2 linked regions of the Oryctolagus cuniculus genome follow. The protein of the gene in region 1 interacts with the protein of each later gene in a pairwise test. Links are inferred from orthologs where the notes say so. Each region holds a gene or a part of one and is shown on either strand. Other genes may lie near its edges. The genes, in order: NDRG4 and MAL2.

Region 1 (4,339 bases):
GCACCCAAAAGCGTGGCGTCCAGGACGTGCTGGAGCCCGAAGGGAACCTGGGTCTGCAGGACGCGTGTCTTGCCCAAACAAACGCTTTCAGGGCATCAGATTCCCTCGCTCCCCGGCGTGTGGGCCTCGGTCCAAGGCCAAGGCCCTCCCTTTTAGGGGTGGGGGAGGGGCAGCAGGTGGGAGCCGCTGCGTCGGGCGGAGGAAAACCCGGGACTCCGCGGGACGAACGCGGGGGAGAGGGTACCTCGCCGCACCCCGGGCGGGACCGGCAGGGCCAAGCACAGCTTTGCTAGGAGCCATCCACTCCCGCACGCGTTCTCCCAAGGAAACCCTGGGCTCCGCAAACCGGACGACGCCCCAGAGAGCCCCGGAACACCAGGCTCTGCCCGGTCTTCCAGGCCTTCGGGAGTCTAAAAAAAGCCCCAGGCAGGGGCCGCCCCTCCCCCGGGAACCCGACGTCGCTGACAACAGGCCTGCGCTCCGAGAGGCCGGGACCCGCAGAGGTGAGACGTGGAAGGGGGTGCGGACCCGCAAGGGGTCTCCGCCGGATCTGCGGGTCGTGGCGCCTGGCTCAGCTCCCGCCGCGGCAGGAGCGCAGTGGGCACCTAGTGCGATCCTAGGCGCAGCAGCCAGGCCTGGCCCCGCGCGACTGAGTGCCCACGCCCCCCCCCACACCCACGTGGGCCCGCCCCCGCGGCGCGCCGCCCCCAGCCCCGGCCTCCGCTCCCGGCAGCGGCGCAGGGGCTCCCGGCTGCAGGCGCCTGCACCGCGCGTTGGCGGCGGCGGTGCCGTGGCCCGGCTCCCCGCCTGCGCGTCTGTGTCTCCCGCATCACCTCGGTGAGTCTGCGGCGCCCCCAGGTCGCCGCTCCCTGGTTGTGGCGCGCGCAGCCCCAGGCTCCGCGCACGACCCCGAAGGAGCGCCGCACCTTCCCGGCCGAGCCGCCTTTCTGCTAAGCGAGGACAGCCCCCTCGTCCCCACCCAGCCCCGGCGCTCCCTCCTTGCCTTCCCCGCGGGGCACGGGAACCCCCTGCGCCACCAACCGCGCCCCGCGACGGCCGGGGGCGGCGGGGCCTCTTTGTTCACCAGGCGGGCGCAGGGCCCCTCCCGCGGTGTCGCCGGCCCCCTCCCCGCGCGCTCTCCCCGCCTCCCGGAGTTCGTCCGGACCAGGTGGCGGCGGGCGCCTTTTGGGGGTGCGCGGCCGTGCAATTGGTGGATTTTTTCGCACGGGTTTGGCGGGGGAGCGCGGCGTGGGGGGCGGCGAGAGCGCTCCTGCTGCTGCTGCTGCCGCCGCTGCTGCCGCTCGGCGCTCGCCTTGCGCGCTCCCCGACGCCACAGCCCGGGCCGTGCCGCGCCGCGATGAGGGTGCTGGGGCACCGGCTGGAACTGCTTACAGGTATCGCCGTCGCCGCTTTCCGGGTCGGAGCGGGCTCCGACCGCGGTACCCGGGGGTTGGGGCGCTCGGGTGCGAGCCCGAGGGGTGCGGATGCCAACTAATTCCCAGCTTGTGCTCTACCTGCTCCTGGGCGGAGCCCGCCCGGCTCTGCTGAGAGTGAGCGAGACGGCCTCTGGGGTCCCTGCCCGGCTCAGGGAAAGGAGCTCGGATCCCCTGCCCTCCAATCGGGGCGGCTCACTCCCCAAGAAAGGAGCGCCCTGGACTCCGGGCAGCACCCGTGCCGCGGGCGTCTCGTGTCTGCTCCCTGTGACGGTCCTTTCTGTAGGGGGAGAAGTTTCTTGACCGTTATAGAGGCCAAGTGGCCTGGGATCCTGGTGTCTTGGGGGGCCCTCTGGGGAAGTGACCAGATGCTATGCTGGAGACCCACAGGAGCGTTGGGCTGTGCCGGGTGAAGCGATTGGGACTGGCCGCCCTGAACTGGGCGGGGGGGCTGGACAGTAACACCCCGGCTTCCGTGTGCGCCCCCGGGGAGGGGTGACTGGGAGGGGGGAGGGGGACACTCGGGAGTTCCCCGTCCATGTGCTGCAGGAACGCATGTGGCTTTCAGTAAATGTGTCTGGCACCTGGAAGTGCGGTTTCTGCCCTGGAGGACCTTACAGCACTAGAGCCGGGTTGCAGGCAGGGAGGGGCAGGGAGCAGTCAGGGCACTGGAGAAGAGGTTGGAGCCTGAGCTAGGGCGGGGGGGGGGGGGGGGGGAGCCGGCGGGTGAGAGCAGGGGTGGCCTTGAAGAGGGACTCTGTGTGTGACACAGGGGTGGGGTCATAGACTTGAGGCGTCCAGGCGGCTGCCCTGGTGTGAGCGAGAGGCTTGAGCTGGGAGGGATGTGGAGCTGGAGATAGTGGGGGCAGGGCAAGGGGCAGGCTCTAGGCTGTGCATTCCCAGGGCAGGCAGGGCCTGGGAAGTGTGGGCTCAGAGCCCGCTTAGCCACAGCCAGCATCTGTCATCCCTCATCAACTTTGCCTTGGCGAGCTCTCTGGCTAGGGCAGGCCCAGCCCACCTGCCCCGGAGAACGGCCCAGGTGCTGGACTTAACCCCTGCCCGGGGCAGGCTGTGAAGCCCCATGGAGACGGAACTTCTGGGTCCTTTCCGCCTCCCCTCCCTGCTTCCACAAGACCTAGAGGAGAAATGCTCACGGTGGGCACGTGGGGGACCCGAGCTTCAGGGCCCTGGGTGCAGCACCTCTCCTCCCTTGTCAGATGGGCTCACCTGCTCCACCAGACTTGCTAAGCGGCTGGCCAGGCGGAAACAGGACCCTGCCTGTCACTGTCGGTCCCAGGCTCCCTCTGACCTCTAACCCCGGGCCTCAGCGCACCCCCTCTGTGGCTGTTCGACCATCTCTGCAGCCCTCCTGTCTGCCTCTCCATCTCCCAGTCTTGGATTTCAGTTCCCACCACTCACTCGCCAAGGTTAGCTCGCCTCTCTGGCCTCAGTCTTCTGCTCTTAAAGGTGGCGTTCTCACCGCCTTCTAAGAGGTGGTGTGCGGTTTGCTGAGATAGCACAGGCCACGCACCTGCTGGGAACAGGCCTCTCTGGCTTTATTTCCCCTCTGATTGCGCAGTCTTGGCTGCCCCCAAAATGGAGAACTCCATGTGTCCTGGCTGAGGAGCCACCGGGGATACTGGATCTGCCCCCAGCCCCTTAACCTTGCTCACATGCAGCTGTGAGAATTTGACCCACTGGGGAAGGTAAGCAGGTCACAGGGTGGCTGTTGATTGATTGTAGTGGCATACAGCAAGTGCTTAATAACTGTTGACTGAGCCCAGGCTGGCATAGCCTGTCATCAGCAGTGTCTCCAGGATAACTTTTTTAAAAAAAAAATTATTTATTTGGGGGCTGGTATTGTGGTGTAATGGGCTAAAGGACTTGGGCCATCTTCTGCTGTCTTCCCAGGTGCATTAGCAGGGAGCTAGATTGAAAGTGGAGCAGGTGGGGCTGGCGCCGTGGCTCACTTTGTTAATCCTCTGCCTACAGCACTGGCACCCCGGGTTCTAGTCCCGGTTGGGGTGCCGGATTTTGTCCCGGTTGCTCCTCTTCCAGTCCAGCTCTCTGCTGTGGCCCGGGAGGGCAGTGGAGGATGGCCCAGGTCCCGCACCCTGGGTGGGACCGGCAGGGCCAAGCACAGCTTTGCCAGGAGCCATCCACTCAAGCCAAGCCATCCACTTGGGCCCTGCACCCGCATGGGAGACCTGGGAGAAGCACCTGGCTCCTGGCTTCAGATTGGCGCAGCTCTGGCTGTGGCAGCCATTTGGGGGGTGAACCAACGGAAAGACCTTTCCCTCTGTCTCTCTCACTGTCTGTAACTCTACCTGTCAAATAAATAAGTAAAAATCTTTAAAAAAGTGGAACAGCGGGGACTCGAACTAGTGCCCATATGAGATGCTGGCATTGCAGGCAGTGGCTTAATCCACTACACTACATTGCCAGCCCTTTCAGGATAATTTTGTAGAGGACCTGGGACTCCCTGCCTGCACGTCAGCCTTACAGAATTGTTTAACTGAAGCAGCTTTTAAAAACTCTGATTTGTCTGGTTCTCTCTGGTTTTCACAATCTCCTGTTTATTAAGACCATTAAAAAAAAAGGATGTATTAATTTGAAAGGTAGAGTTACATATGCACACACACACACACACACACACACAGAGGGAGGGAGGGAGGGAGGGAGGGAGAGAGGGGTCTTCCATCTGCTGGTTCACTCCCCAAATGGCTGCAACAGCCAGGGCTGGGCCAGACTGAAGCCAGGAGCTTCCTCCAGGTTTCCCACATGAGTGCCAGGGCTCCAAACACTTGGGCCATGTTCCACTGCTTTCCCAGGCACATTAGCAGTGAACTGTATCAAAAGTGGAGCAGCCAGGACTTGAACCAGTGCTCATATGGAATGCTGGCATC
Region 2 (3,810 bases), on another chromosome or scaffold:
ATGTCGGGTTATAAGTAAGATTTCATGAAGTAAAATGTTTTCAGTTAAAAAAAAATTTTTAAATTTATTTGAGAGGGAAAGAGAAGGCTGAAGTGAGGGAGAGAAATGTAGAGTGAAGAAGAGGCAGGTGGAAGAGGGAAGAAGAGAGATACAGAGACAGTGATACAGACAGACAGTGTACTCATCGACTGGTTCACTCTCCAAATGCCTGCAATGGCTGGGGCTGTTCCAGAGTCCAGACAGGGCTGGAGCCAGAAGCCAGGAACATAACATTGGTCTCCTATGTGGGTGCCAAGAAATCAAGCACTTGAGTCCACCTTCTCGCTCCCAGCATGTGCACTGGCAGGAAGTTAGTTAAGAGTCAGAGCTGGGGATCCAACCCAGGGACTTGGATGTAGGACTCAGATATCTTAACCACTAGGCTAAATACTGCTCTGGTTTCTTAAAGTCAAAATCACTGATATAAACCATAAATCTTTCAAAGCTAGAACCATGTCTTCTTTCTGTTGTAATTCCATCTTCAGTCCAGTTCATCATAAGCACTCAATGAATTTTGATAAATCCTAACACAGACTTGTAAAACTTACATTAATAGCTCTTAAAATCATGTCTTTCCCTTTTCAAAATCAAGATTCTAGACCTGTGTTGTCCAGTATGATAGCAACTAACCATATGTCACTATTTATACAAAAATTCAGTTCCTTAGTAATACTAGCTACATTTTCATTACCCAATAGCCACAAGTGGCTGGTGACCACCATATTTAACATCACAATATAGAATGTCCCTATCACTGTAGAAAATTTTACTGTACAGGGGTGCTTCCAACAAGTTTCAATGGCTATAAGGAAGTACCAGGTTATTCGTGGGCTAATTGGGTAAAATAGTAAAACATCTGGTGACTAATTTGCTAGACAGTCATATTAAACATTAAGGCATTTCAGGAAATAATTTGGACTTCTGAGATCTTAAAAATTACCTATAAGAACACAAATAATATCACTTTTCAAATTACCAATATCAATACAAAATGACAAATTTATCCCATTAATGAAGAGGATTTAAAAAATCCCAAAGTTTTCCACTGGAATGTGTTTCCTCTGTATGTCATCTACTGTAATTGTTGGCTTATTGGTCTCCTTCACTAACCTGCACTTCCTCGATTGTAGGCATTACAAGTTTTTCACCCCTTTCCCCACACTCAGAAAATTACCTGTCACACAGAAGGCCTGCAGTAAATATTCACTGCGTTAAAATGAATTATAAATAGGTATTGAATACTAAAGAGCAAAGAAGGGAACAATTCTTCCTTACCATGTTTGAAAGTTAAAAGAAGTAAAAAGCACAATTAATTCCCTTTCAAAAGGAGACTTTGCTGTGAAAAGCCAAGTTGAACTACTGCCTTGCTGTAGTTTTCCATGAATGTCAACCTTTTTTTGTGTTCCAGTTCAATCATCCATACCTCTAGGGTTGATAACAGTACTTTGTTCATAAGGTTATGGTACAGATAAATGGCTATTATATGTTTAATGCTAATGGCTATTATTATAGAAGACTGGTGTTGCCTCAGGAGATTCTTAGAGACCTTGAGGGAGGAGAGGAAATGCAGGTGAACTGTACTTATTGAATACTCACTGTGGCTGCTACGTTTATGTTATACTGGTTATTACTCAGGAGAGGTTGTACAGACATGGTCATGTTGCAATGCAGATTGTGCAGGGATGTTGCTGCTGCTTCCAATAAAAAGGCTCCAAAGTAGAAAACAAACACTGTAAAATGGTAGGCAAAATCCTGAAAGAGGAGAGGAAAGACATCTACAATGAAAAATAATAAGATTTTCTATTACTTATTTCAAACAATCAAGTTTAAATTCAGGAAGATAAAAACATTTAATCAAACAGTCTTAAGTATACTTGTGGTGTATTTGCACTGTGTTAGCAATGTTAGGCCATTAGAATGCAAATGAAAAACAACTTATAAGTCTTAATTGGTAAAGTAGCAAACCTTCTGAAAGACTAAATTTTATAATGAAATGTATAATTTCAGTGTGGATTAAGAAGCCACAGAGATCAGAATTAGTTAACATAAGATACAAAAGGGATACAATACACTAACTTTAAAAGTAAAACAGCATTCCAATGATATATTTTTAGTCAATTATCTATATTAACTGTAAAATTATTTTATATTTGAGAAATCACTAGTTTCATATTTAAGATCTTCATTCCATACATTGAAAGTCATGGAAGACTTTTTTTAAAATACAATTCAAAGACATATGTCCCTATGTTCTATTACAAACAAATACATCATATGCTTCTAAAAAAATCTGGGAACTGAATTATTTATTAGGCTATTTTGTATGTTGTCGGCATTAATGTGAAGCATAACTCTATTAAAATTGTCTCACCTGAATTAATATACCACTATTACACTGCTCTTTATTTTTAACAGCTCCCATATACCAGTTATACATATTATTACTCATCCTTACAACCACATTTATTACCTTCATTTTACAAACAGAGAATTTCTTTTCAGTTAAATGACTGTCCCAGAACCACATAAAAATTAACTTTTAAAGGGGTAATTCAAACTTACATAGTCTCTCTGCTTCAAAAGTCCACTTTCTTTTTTATAAAATATTTTAATTGACAAAAATTGTCCACATTTATCATATACAATATGTTTTGAATATATATGCATAATGGAATAGCTAAATTGAGCTAAGTAATGTATACATTGTCTCACATACTTTTCTCCTTTGTGGTGAGAACACTTACAGTCTACTCTTAGATAATTTTTAAGAATACAATACATTGGTATTAACTAGTCACCATGCTGTATAATAGATATTTTGAAGTTATTCTTTCCTTCTAATTGAAATTTTGTATCTTCTGGTCAATATCACTTGAAGCTCCCCTCTCCCTCCCAGTCCCTGGCAACCACCATTCTACTCTTAGAACTCAACTTTTTTGGATTTTAGATACAAGTGCAGTCATACAGTGTATTTTCTCTGTGCCTGATTGCTTTCACTTGATATTATGTCCTCCATGTTCATCTATGTTGTTGCAAGTGACATGATTCCTTCTTTGTAAAGGCTGACTAGTATAGATGGAGGAGGATACTTTGAAAAGTTCACTAAGAAATGGAATTAGGCCGGCGCCACGACTCACTAGGCTAATCCTCCACCTGCGGCGCCAGCACCCCAGGTTCTAGTCCCAGTTGGGGCGCCAGATTCTGTCCTGGTTGCTCCTCTTCCAGTCCAGCTCTCTGCTGTGGCCTGGGAAGGCAGTGGAGGATGGCCCAAGTTTTTGGGCCTTGCACCTGCGTGGGAGACCAGGAGGAAGCACCTGGCTCCTGGCTTCGGATCGGCACAGTATGCTGACCACAGTAGCCATTTGGGGGGGGTGAACCAATGGAAGGAAGACCTTTCTGTCTCTCTCTCACTGTCTACTCTGCCTGTCAAAAAAAAAAAAAAAAAAGGAAAAAGAAATGGAATTAAAAGATAGGTTAATTTTGGTCCAAAATAGTTTCAAATTCTTGCATGTTTTTTTTTTTTCATAATACACAATGTCCATGAAGTTTCTGAAAAACTCTCCTATACCACATTTTTTAATCAATTCATCCTAAGCGCTAAGTGATAGACACTTAGGTTTATTCCTTATCTTGGCTCTTATAAATAATGCTGCAGTGAGCAAGGGAGTGCAGACTTGTCTTACGGATTTCACTTCCCCTGGATATATGCCCAGTAGTGGACTGCTACATCATAAGGTAGTTTTAATTTTTTGAAACACCTCCATACTATGT

What was found.
Region 2: the proteins of NDRG4 (region 1) and MAL2 interact in binary tests that used the Homo sapiens proteins (3 or more experiments, as listed by UniProt). The two-hybrid records come from large-scale screens. The link is inferred for Oryctolagus cuniculus from reciprocal best matches to the Homo sapiens genes NDRG4 and MAL2.

The regions. Positions count from the first base shown.
Region 1 is NC_091449.1:41,762,882-41,767,220, forward strand, and holds the start of NDRG4 (protein NDRG4), read left to right. Parts: upstream 1-1,239; 5' UTR 1,240-1,357; coding exon 1,358-1,394; intron 1,395-4,339. UniProt on the Homo sapiens protein: Contributes to the maintenance of intracerebral BDNF levels within the normal range, which is necessary for the preservation of spatial learning and the resistance to neuronal cell death caused by ischemic stress.
Region 2 is NC_091437.1:145,033,905-145,037,714, reverse strand, and holds part of MAL2 (protein MAL2), read right to left. Parts: intron 1,792-3,810; coding exon 1,636-1,791; intron 1-1,635. UniProt on the Homo sapiens protein: Member of the machinery of polarized transport. Required for the indirect transcytotic route at the step of the egress of the transcytosing cargo from perinuclear endosomes in order for it to travel to the apical surface via a raft-dependent pathway.